2 linked regions of the Arabidopsis thaliana genome follow. The protein of the gene in region 1 purifies or fractionates together with the protein of each later gene. This does not show direct contact. Each region holds a gene or a part of one and is shown in the gene's direction. Other genes may lie near its edges. The genes, in order: ARPC4 and DIS1.

Region 1 (5,547 bases):
CCACAATCTCATATTCACAATGAATGCTCTACCAAATGTGATCAAGCCGTGGAACCATCAGTAAATGCAAGTAGTGAGCAGCAATGGAGAGATGAGTTTGAGCCGCTTTACAAAAAAGAAACTGAGTTTTCAAATCTTGCTGAGCCTTCTTGGTTTTCGGGTTATGATAGGTGCAACATATAATTCTAATATCTATTTTGTGTGTTTAATGTGTATAAAATGGGTGTCTGATTCTGTGATATAAGTCCAATTTCACTCATAACTTGCAACTCATTATGTACAAATGACGCAAACCTCCTGGATTCGTAGAAGATTAAACCAACCTTCATGCAGATCTCTTAGCTTAGACTGCAATCCTAATTCCCAAACAATTCTACTTTTCATTTTCATGAGCGTGCTCCTTCCTTTATCTCGCACTCTCTATATTCTAGTAACAATATTCATATTTTTGGGTATTACACTAAATAGCAAATTACACTAACGGAACTACGTCTATCAACGTCTTCAACGCCAACTCCACGATCGTGACCTGTCCGGACAAATATGTTCTAAGATTGTCGAAGCCCAACTGCAAAGAAGTCAAAGTTTTTACTTGCCACAACAACGTCAACAACCTTTATTCATGATAGTCTCTGTCAGATTGACACACAAGTTATACAGTGTTGTGCCTTGTATTTCTTCTCCGTCGGCGACAGATTTGGACCAAGAAGAAGAAGAATCGGAGACTTGTGCAATCTGTTTGGAGAATATGTCGAGATCTGAGAATTGTTGCCAGATGCCTTATTGTAAGCATTGCTATCATGAAGGATGTGTCACTAAGTGGGTGATTACACTAAATAGCAAATTACCATTGTACCTAAAAACAACTCTTCCATATCTCAAAAGGGTATAGTCTATGTGTGTTAATTACCATTTTTTACAATCAATTCGTCCTGTTCCATCATCAAAGAGTAAATCTAACTTTTGTGACTTTTGAAACATCTTTGTCACACACTAGACCAACAAGTGAGACCTGAATATACCAAAAACATCACACAAAGACTTCTATAAGATCCATATATAATTTTTTTTGAATCTACCTCTTCTCTACTAATACAAATCTGTCCACAAGTTCTTCATCTACCATTCTTTTCACAGACGCAGACTTTTTCTTATGAATAAAACAAAAGATACAAGAAGAAACGATGTGAAGTAAAACATTACTTCCAGAGACTATTAATAACTCCGTACCGTTCTTCGTTCACCATTTGTTTGGCTCAATTTTCACAAGTTCCGAACCTATGCAATATACAACCAAATGGGAATGTCATACTCATATAGTAGATATTAGACATCTTAAAACAAGACATATGTTGTTGCTTTTTGTTTCGTTTTGCATACAGTTGTTGCTCTGTTGCTGACTATCTCTCGAAACCCATCTGAATAATACTCTGAAGATCGTTTTCCCAGAAGGGCGGCACCTAAAATAACACAACGCACAGCTAAGTAAACTTTCAGAGGAACCAAAACAGTGGAAAAATTTACATAGCAACCCAAAGTATCTTCAACATTAAGTACCTCATCTTGAACAAATTCATCACTTGAATGTAGTTAAGGACTCAACGAGTTCAATTGGAATTGAGTTTGAGTCTCTTATAATCTTGGAATGCTCTTGCCAAGAGAAAAGTACTCTGAAGGAAGTCTTGCCTCTGAGCAAGAAATCGACTGCGTTAACTCTCCCAGCTGCAACATCTACGCATGCAAATATGATATATACTACTCATCGGATACAGAACATTCTACAAGAAGCAGAGCCAGTCTTTGCTATAAATGAATACAGTAACATAAACAGATGTGTTAAAGCGCAAGTACCGCTTGTAGTTGTAGATTAGAACTTAGAAGTAGAGCAACCCGGTTCACCGGTTCAATCCGCAGAATCTTGCTGGTATTTGTGGGTCAATGAACATTCCATTTTAGAATGTACCAGATCCGGTCGGAGTGTCTGGTTTGGTTCGGTTTTGACGCATTTCGTTTCACTTATCCGGTCAATTTGATCGTGATTCAATTTTCCGATCGTTGATCTCTAAATCTCCTTACGATCTCTCCTCTCACGAGTCTCCAAGTCGTCCAAGGTATGCAATTTGTTCACGACCAAGGTTTTAGGGCTTTTGATTTGTCTGATTGATTCCTAGGGATCTAATTTGATTTCCCTTTCTCACATTTTCCAAAAGTTTCAGACTTTCAGTAGATTGGCTTATTTCTCTAAGTGGGTCTCTCAATAATCATGATCTTGTTGTTGCTTCGAGTTGATTACATAGAAACTCTAGTCTCCGGGATCTTGCTGTTACTTGATTGTTATTTTGTTCTCTTCTTATCTTAAACATTTGAGAGTGTTTTGTTTTCTTGTAGACATTTTGATCCTAAAGTTGCTTTCTTATTGACGTTTAGTATAAAAAAGTTGGTAACCTAAATTCTATGAAACTAAAGATGCTTTCTTGTTTATGTTTGGATTATTTTTTCAGCTCATAAAGATTCATCGAGAAGAAAGATAAAATCCTAAGTCTGGTGCAAGTCTCGAGTAGAATAACATCATTTCTAGGACATGGTAAGAACCTTGACTGTAATTCTAATTTTGATTCTTCTCATACTTGACAAAGACTCTTTTTCATTCAAACATGTCCTGTTTAGAAACAATTCTTTTAAACAATGTCTATCGCATACTGATTTACTGCAGAAATTGTTTAAAATTTGCTTCCGATGGGTCTTTGATGTTCCAGGCAAACTCATTACGGCTGTATCTAGCATGCATAAAAAATACACTCGAGGCTGCCATGTGCTTACAGGTACAAATTATTTTTGGTTCATGATATCATGGCATAGGTCTCAAAGTTTCCATCTTTATGGTTAAGTTTGTTTAAGGCAGTTAAAGCTTCATGTTGGCGTTCTATCTCATTCATCCACCTTTGGTCTGTTATTCTCTTGTATTAGTTGTTTACTTTTTGATTAGACATGTTGTACCATCATTCACTTACTTTTTGACGTTTTTCTCGCAATATTTGGTGTCAGAACCTACCGATTTCGTTAAAGTAGGTGAAAGGGGCCATGTGGAGTCTTTGAAAACATTCAGCTTTACATGGTTTATATTCCTGAAAGCTTCTATACTTCTCTACTTGCAGAATTTTCCTTGTCAAGAAGTTGAAAGGCATAATAAACCAGAGGTTGAATTAAAGTATGTAAGCTTCTCACAAGAAGATGCATGTGAGAATGGGGTGCTCTTCTTCCATTTTTATTTCAAGCATAGAATCTTATTATCACCATGTGTTTGCTAAATTTTGTAGGACGAGCCCAGAACTTTTGCTAAATCCTGTAAGAAGTTTACTTGTTTCCCTCCCAGTTTAGCGTTGATATTGCATTGTCTTCTTACCTAGGTTTTGTAGTTGACTGCTAAGTTTTGCAACTTGCAGGTTTTAATATGCCGAAATGAGGCTGAAAAGTGTTTAATAGAAACATCTATAAATTCACTCCGGATAAGCCTCAAGGTAAATGTTCATCTTACCCTAGCTTTTCCTTCAAATACTTCCAGGAAGAGCCCCAGTGGTACACTGTTCAACAAAGGCTTTGTGTTGTTTTACTTTCCTGTTTCTCACCGTTTCCTTTGTTTCTTTCTCCTGAGATAACGTCTTGACGAGTCGTGACTTAGTCTAGACATCTGTCTTGTTCTGCTGTTACAAATATTTGTTATCTTTAATTTGCAGGTCAAGCAAGCGGATGAACTTGAAAACATACTAACCAAAAAATTTCTCAGATTCTTGTCCATGAGGGCAGAAGCTTTTCAAGTACTGAGGAGGAAGCCAGTGCAGGTAGACCTTCTTATTGATTCAACACTTAGGTACTTGTGAGTGCTACTAGGTTTTATCTAGAAGTTGCAATGCATTCCCTCTTTTGTCGAACTTCTATTTTTTTTTAATGGTAAATGCATCACGAATTGATTAAACATAACGCAGACAGTATTCACAAATTCTCCTTAATTTTAGCTTTCTGTGCAGGCATTTTTTAGGTTTAGGATGATAGATAGTCTGTATGTACCACACCTTTCCTTTCTTTTTCCCTTCTATGAATCATGAATCATGAATCATCTCACTGTGCGGAAATGCATTGCCTTGGCTTTAGATGGTTTACTGTTTATTCCCCTGCATTGTGTGAACGATCCATTCCCTTATTCCCTTCAATTGGTTTCTTTGTTGGTGTTTTGAACAGGGCTATGACATAAGCTTTCTTATAACAAACTACCACTGCGAAGAGATGCAGAAACAGAAGCTAATTGATTTCATTATTCAGTTTATGGAGGCAAGTCTCTCTCGAAACCTAATCTTTTTATTCTATGACCTTGGTTGCTCCCATTAGTAGCATCCTAACAATCAATATATGTCTTGGTTGCATCAAACCTAATGTTAGTGATGCATCCTTACGTCGTTGTGTTTCTCACGGAAATAACTTGAGAAGTAGTATTCTGAATAGTTGCCTTAACAAAGGTCATTATATCCGTCTTTGAATTTGAATTGTTTCTACAAGAGTCAACAGAGATTAGTTACTCTGATTATGTCCTCCAACATGCTAATCTCCGCTTAAAATAGATTTGAAACTTGAAGTGTGACTATTTTTTAACCATGGAAATTGCAGGATATAGAGAAAGAAATAAGGGACTTGAAGGAGTCAGTGAATACAAGAGGAAGACTCGTTGCTACGGAGTTCTTGAAACAGTTCATGTAAAGCAGCTCTTGAAGTAGTATAATGTAACCCTTCATTGTATCAATCACTCGTTATTTGGTTAAAATCCATCTACTCTTCATTTTGCTACTTTCTCTGTTATTCTAACACAACCAAAGTACCGAGCCATCGGCTTGGTAATTGTAGTGTATGTAATGCGATACTTATCAAATGTGGTCTGTTGATCGTAGATGTTCGAACGTACAATCCCAGAAACCAAAAAGTTGTTTTATCTTATTCTTACCACCAAAGACCAACAAATTGTTCATCTCTGACAGAACAAAGATCCACAACAAAGGAAAAAACGTCGTCGTTTCTTTTACACCGTAACCCAAAATATGAGTTACTGGGCTGGGCCCATTATTGAAACTAATAATAGGGGAATTTATTAATTTGTTTGATTATTTCCTAAAAGAACGAACGACGCCGTATACACCGAGAAGCTCAACGTTCGTCATCACTCTTCTCGCTTCTCGGCGTCTCCATCGCCGTCTCTATCTAATCTCGTCCTGCGTCGACCTAGTGAGCTACTTCAGATTCCGGCCATCACGCAGCTCCAGGTTAGTTTTTATTTATGTCAAACAACGAATCGGTGTGTTGTGCCTAGAATGGAACTGATTTCTGGGTTTAGATTGAGAATTTCTACGGTTTAGGAAACGTTATTTAGGTCATACGAATCTGTTGTTTGTAGAAGATACGACGAAACAAATCCAGTCACGTGAAACAGAGCTAGTATTGATCTTTAACTCTGCTCTATTATCAAATTGATTGAGTCGATCTGAAATTCACAGATTACCATAT
Region 2 (5,988 bases), on another chromosome or scaffold:
TCGAGAACCAAGTTTGCATGCACTCACCATAGGAGTTTATTTTGTGTTTTATGTTTGACGTTCTCGGGGGTTTTGGCTATATAGAAAATAAGAAGATCAAACTAATTAACTATATTAAGAATTGAATCGCTTTCAAATTGATTTTTTTTAATTCCGTGTTTGATCAGTTTAATTTATCCTAATCAAATACTCATAACCCATATATGTGATATTAGAACATGAGGTGATGGTATACTCAACTGCTTACACCTACTAACTCCTAATTCTTAAAATTTGATTATCAATTACAATTAACGGTTTTAATTATAATGTTAAAGTCCATTTCAAATTCCAGTCACAATTTTTATTCCATCTAAAGTAATTTGATACAAATTTGATTTTGCTTCGAATATGGTTGTTTTGTCAACGGTTTTTTATATCAAATATAGTTTTTTTTCTCTTTTCAATGCAATCGGTTAGGTGGTATTTGATTTTTCCTTCAAATTGAATTTTAAAAAATTCATTTTGTTCTTGATGATACAGTTCAATTTATCTGAATTAAACAATCTTAACCATATTGAATATTAAAACATGAGTATTGTATATTTCATTATGATTACACCTCATTTACCCCCAAATCTCTTTAATCAATAAACTTGACATGATCATGAAAAAAAATCATTGTTTAAAAAAAAAAACTAAAACAATAAACAAATATTTGTTTTGATAGTTCGAATATAATACTGCTAATACATTGATGAGTATTTATAAGTAAAAAAACTTGTAGAATCTTAAAAATATATTTAGATCGTCCTTTATCAATAAAATTTGTACAAAATGCGCTTTGTAATATTTTTTCTTTACGGTTACATCTTTATATTTTATTTTTATTTTTTGCTAAAGTGAAAAAAATAGTGCATTCTTTAGAGCTTTGAAGAACGTTGGTAGATCAACAATGAGTCGTCTGGAAAACATGTCGGCAAGAGATGCTTACAGCAATGTGACTGATCTAAAAACGATAGCCAACAAATTCGTAAACGGCGAATATTAAATTGAAAAAACTAGTGAATTGAGTATCACATATCTGCGTTAACGAATTTAGTAATTTGTTGGACGAATGTAGTAATTCGTTAGATGAATGAGATCAATCAAGCCATTTAAAAAAATATATATTCATTCGCATTGTAGTTTTACACATACCACCTAACATTGACTATAAAAAATATATATGAAAAAGAAATCTGTTGCAAGGGAGACTAACCTAGCCCAACAATTTTTAAAGCTCTAGGGCAAAATAAAAATTCAGGACCTTATATTCATGTTAAAAAAAAAAATTTATATATTTGGGCATATTTATACTAAAAATTATTTTGTTTGGGTCTTTTGAAATTTTATTACCTTGAAAACAGGTCATACTTTACACTTAAATGCTAAAACATTGGGCTACATTTTCATTTTGTTATTTAAACGGACCGGTATGAGTGAGACATGCATGATGATTTAAGCTTATCTACTCAATAGGATTAGGCTGAGACTGATATGATTCCATTTTTCGAGACCGTGTGAACATAGTTCATGATAACTACTGTGTAGTAAAGTAGTAACAAGACTTCAATCTCAAGTTTTAATGGGTTTTGTTCGGTGGTTCAAGCGTCCTTATCATAAGTTTGTTTTTCTGTCTTCACTACACACATCTTAATATTGAGTTAATCCAATTAACAGTAGGCATATATCATATATCATATATCAGAACATTATTTGTGTTATGATTACCTTTTATATTATCAAAGTCCCTAGTTAATTTGGTTTGTTTACAAAGACGATTACAGTATATTATATATCCAAACAAAATTTGTAATGATGATAATCAGCCCAGTATGGTTCAATTCAATGTTATTGAAATTTGTTTGGTTTTTAAATCAGACTTGGTTATTGAGTCGGGTTGGAAAACCAAATTAACCACAGCGCATAAGGACGAAGCCAAAATTTAAAACAGTAGTTGTACATAACTTCATTTGTTTTTTATCGGAAAAATCTCACACGATAAAGTACCAGTCGACGACGGCGACTTTCTCTATGATCTGACCGTTTCGCTGAATCTCACGTGAATCTCTGATTTTCCGGGAAAATCAATTTTCTCTCATTGTCTCTCTCCCTACATTGTTTCTCATAGCCTACGAGAAATTACGTGGTAGCTTGTCGGAAACTCAACTTCCGTTGACGGAAGGCGCGAGAAAGAAGCAAGCTTAGGTTCGATCGGAAAATTCTAGGGTTCTCTAGTGTTTAAACGGTAGAGATAATCGATCTCTAATCGGATACTGTTTTGGATCTCCATTCACACCCTCTGGTGAGCTGATTTTGCTTTAGAGATCGCCGGCTTAGTTTCTCTAATGGATCCGACTTCTCGACCCGCTATTGTCATCGACAATGGAACTGGGTACGTTCAATGATAGGTTTGATTTGTTTATGCGCTTAACGTGTTCGATGAAATGCTGCAATTAGATTCATTCTTGTGTGTGTGTGTATTGCAGGTATACTAAAATGGGATTTGCGGGTAATGTAGAGCCATGTTTTATCTTACCAACAGTAGTTGCAGTAAACGAGTCGTTTTTGAATCAATCCAAGAGTTCTTCTAAGGCAACTTGGCAAACTCAGCACAACGCTGGAGTTGCTGCGGATCTCGATTTCTATATTGGAGATGAAGCTCTTGCGAAATCGCGGTCTAGTAGTACTCATAATCTTCATTATCCAATTGAGCATGGTCAAGTTGAGGATTGGGATGCTATGGAGAGATATTGGCAGCAGTGTATATTTAACTATTTGAGATGTGATCCTGAGGATCATTATTTTCTTCTTACTGAAAGTCCTCTTACTCCTCCTGAAAGTCGAGAATATACTGGAGAAATTTTGTTTGAGACTTTTAATGTTCCTGGGCTTTACATTGCTGTTAATTCAGTTCTTGCACTTGCTGCTGGCTACACAACATCAAAGGTATGTTACACATTTCTTTTCTCCAAGTATTTACGTTGTTTGCTGTGATGAAATGCTATGTATTAGCCTACTTGCTGTGATGAAATGATATGTATTTAAGTTGTTTGCTGGGATGAAATGATATGTATTTAGGCTATTAGTTGTTTAAGTTTGCTTGTAGACTGTGTGAATCCTTAAATCAAGTCATAATTATACTTTATTCAGTTTTGGTTTTAGGGACTGAGTCTCAAGAATAGGTTAGTGTAACCTCACCAACATTAGACAATTTCCGAGCTTTGTGGGATTTAGCAAATATTAAACATGTTCTCTTGTTTTTTGTTCTGTCTCGTTATGCTCGCCTCGCCTCTTAATTTGACTTACAATTCTTCTTAGTGTGAGATGACAGGGGTTGTAGTAGATGTTGGAGATGGGGCAACTCATGTTGTACCTGTTGCAGAAGGTTATGTCATCGGGAGCTGTATCAAATCGATTCCAATTGCTGGCAAAGATGTCACCCTCTTTATCCAGCAACTCATGCGGGTATGCACTAATTTATTATCTTAATATTAGTCTTGGTCTTCTTTTGTAGTTGGTTTTCATTCTTTCTCTGTGACATTTTAAGATTTTAAAGGCACAGAAGTTAAATGTGTTAAATCCAAGCTTTGAGTATGGTAGCTAGGCTTCCTGTTTATTTGTTTTAGATGTTGTGCTCATATGCTTAGAGAGGGTGTTTACTGGTTTAGATTAATGTATTAACTTCATGTAACTTCTCGTTTCAATGTTTACTGTAGGAAAGAGGTGAGAATATACCACCAGAAGATTCATTCGATGTAGCCCGTAAAGTGAAGGAAATGTACTGCTACACTTGTTCTGACATCGTAAAGGTAATCCTTAGTGGTGAATATTCAAGTCAGATAATATTAATATATACTCTTCTGAAAATTTATTACTGGCCTGTATGCTGAAATCGCTTGAAAAGAATATAGGAATATTGATAAAGAACATTCATATGGTTGCAGGAGTTTAATAAACATGACAAAGAACCAGCAAAGTATATTAAACAATGGAAAGGTGTAAAGCCAAAGACTGGTGCACCATACACTTGCGACGTGGGATATGAACGATTCCTTGGACCCGAGGTTTGTTACCATCTATCTGTTATAAAAAGTTGTAAGTTGATAAGATAACCAGAATCGGAGACTGGATATCTTTACTGGTGCATGAGTTTCTAGTATGTCAGTGAGCTGTTCATGATTTGTTATCGATTATAAGATATTTTCAGCACTCTGTTCTGATTACTGAACGGTACTGATATAAAACTATGCTCTCTCAGAAACTCAAATTAGGTAATTACTTAGTCCATTATGTTAACTGGAAGTCTGGAACTAATTCTTATCTAGTTAGAATTCAGCTGTCACTACTGGACCCATAGGAAGCTAATCTCCTTTGTATCTCTATACCAAGAGAGTAACTGGAAAGTGGAACATAATTTCCTTTATTGTTCTTGCGTTTTTGTTCTGCTATTACCGATGAGTAATGTTGAGATTTTGTGTGTTACAGGTGTTCTTTAATCCAGAGATATACAGCAATGACTTCACAACTACTTTACCAGCTGTGATAGACAAATGTATTCAGTCTGCACCAATTGACACACGAAGAGCTTTATATAAGGTTTGAAACGCCAAAGACTGGTCAGAGTTTTAAGATAATTTCCAATCCGCAATACTGATGAATTTGTGAAATCATTTCAGAATATAGTGTTGTCCGGAGGTTCAACTATGTTCAAAGATTTCGGAAGAAGGTTACAAAGGGACCTCAAGAAGATTGTTGATGCTCGTGTTCTTGCTAATAACGCTCGTACTGGTGGTGAAATTACGGTAAGAAAATTGTATGATATTCTGGAAAATAAAAGTGATAACCAGTTTTCTTAATCTGAGGTGATATTTATTTATAACCACAGTCTCAACCGGTGGAGGTTAATGTCGTGAGCCATCCTGTCCAGAGGTTTGCAGTTTGGTTTGGAGGCTCTGTGCTTTCATCAACTCCTGAGTTTTTCGCGGTATGCAAACTAGTTTAGAGATCCGCTAGTTTGAAGCTAAACCTCATGGCTTGATCGTGTTTTGAAACAAGATGTATTTTTGTTGTTGCAGAGTTGCAGAACGAAAGAGGAGTATGAGGAATATGGAGCAAGCATATGCCGCACGAATCCGGTGTTCAAGGGAATGTATTGAAGCTGCTTCATAAATAATTCACCAGCAGATTCTGTGAATGTTTGTCTGCTTTACTCCATTTCTATTACTGACTTTAGGGTTCTTGAGTACACACAGTGTAAGCTAGGCTTGATGTAGAAGTCATATTATTATTCAGACAAATTAAAGAAAAAAAGTATGTAGAAGTTTGATTTTTTTTTCATATTATTTTCTGTTAACTCAAGCATTAAATTCCACAGAAAAGTTCCGGATTATCAATCGTCTAATTGTCAAGTTATCATTTTTTATAAGCTTTTATTCCACTCAAGAGCTTAAGTTCTAGATGAAACACATGATAATTAAGTTTTGTCTACTTTATGATGTGTTTTATTTTTTATAAATTAGTTAATAATATTTAAAATTAGACATGAATAGATAAACCTTCTTTTGGGTAAAATACACAAAATCATTTTCTTAAATTACTCAAAACAAATATCTTTCATTACTCTTTGGTTTTGGAGTAATGTAAGATATTCTGTTGTTAATAATAAAGGAAAAAACTTTCATGGGAAAAAAAAATATATATATATATCTTTCATATGTTCTACAAAATACATTATTACATTTATAGCTTGTTGTATAAACGCACTAAAAAAACATGTAAAAGAAAAAAGTTTGTTAAGACAAACTGTTGACATCACGGTGAAGCTCTTCTTTCATTTTTTCTTCTTCTATCGGATAAGAAAGAGAACATCCCGAGTCTCGACGAATACGACTCTCTTCCTCCGATCTCATCAAAAACTCTTTCGCTAAAGCTCTGTTTCTGGGCGTTCAAACAATTCCGGAGTTT

What was found.
Region 2: the proteins of ARPC4 (region 1) and DIS1 fractionate together in Arabidopsis thaliana (co-fractionation; one study listed by BioGRID). This does not show direct contact.

What each region holds. Positions count from the first base shown.
Region 1 is NC_003075.7:8,153,281-8,158,827, reverse strand, and holds ARPC4 (binding protein), read left to right. Parts: upstream 1-2,037; 5' UTR 2,038-2,111; intron 2,112-2,460; exon of another isoform or gene 2,461-2,501; 5' UTR 2,502-2,581; coding exon 2,582-2,584; intron 2,585-2,756; coding exon 2,757-2,822; intron 2,823-3,155; coding exon 3,156-3,208; intron 3,209-3,317; coding exon 3,318-3,345; intron 3,346-3,443; coding exon 3,444-3,518; intron 3,519-3,734; coding exon 3,735-3,839; intron 3,840-4,236; coding exon 4,237-4,330; intron 4,331-4,659; coding exon 4,660-4,766; 3' UTR 4,767-5,021; downstream 5,022-5,547. Other genes in the region: PAKRP1 (phragmoplast-associated kinesin-related protein 1), read left to right, coding at 1-183.
Region 2 is NC_003070.9:4,493,025-4,499,012, forward strand, and holds DIS1 (Actin-like ATPase superfamily protein), read left to right. Parts: upstream 1-1,899; 5' UTR 1,900-2,369; coding exon 2,370-2,416; intron 2,417-2,510; coding exon 2,511-2,970; intron 2,971-3,342; coding exon 3,343-3,489; intron 3,490-3,740; coding exon 3,741-3,833; intron 3,834-3,968; coding exon 3,969-4,088; intron 4,089-4,509; coding exon 4,510-4,620; intron 4,621-4,700; coding exon 4,701-4,826; intron 4,827-4,909; coding exon 4,910-5,008; intron 5,009-5,099; coding exon 5,100-5,180; 3' UTR 5,181-5,445; downstream 5,446-5,988.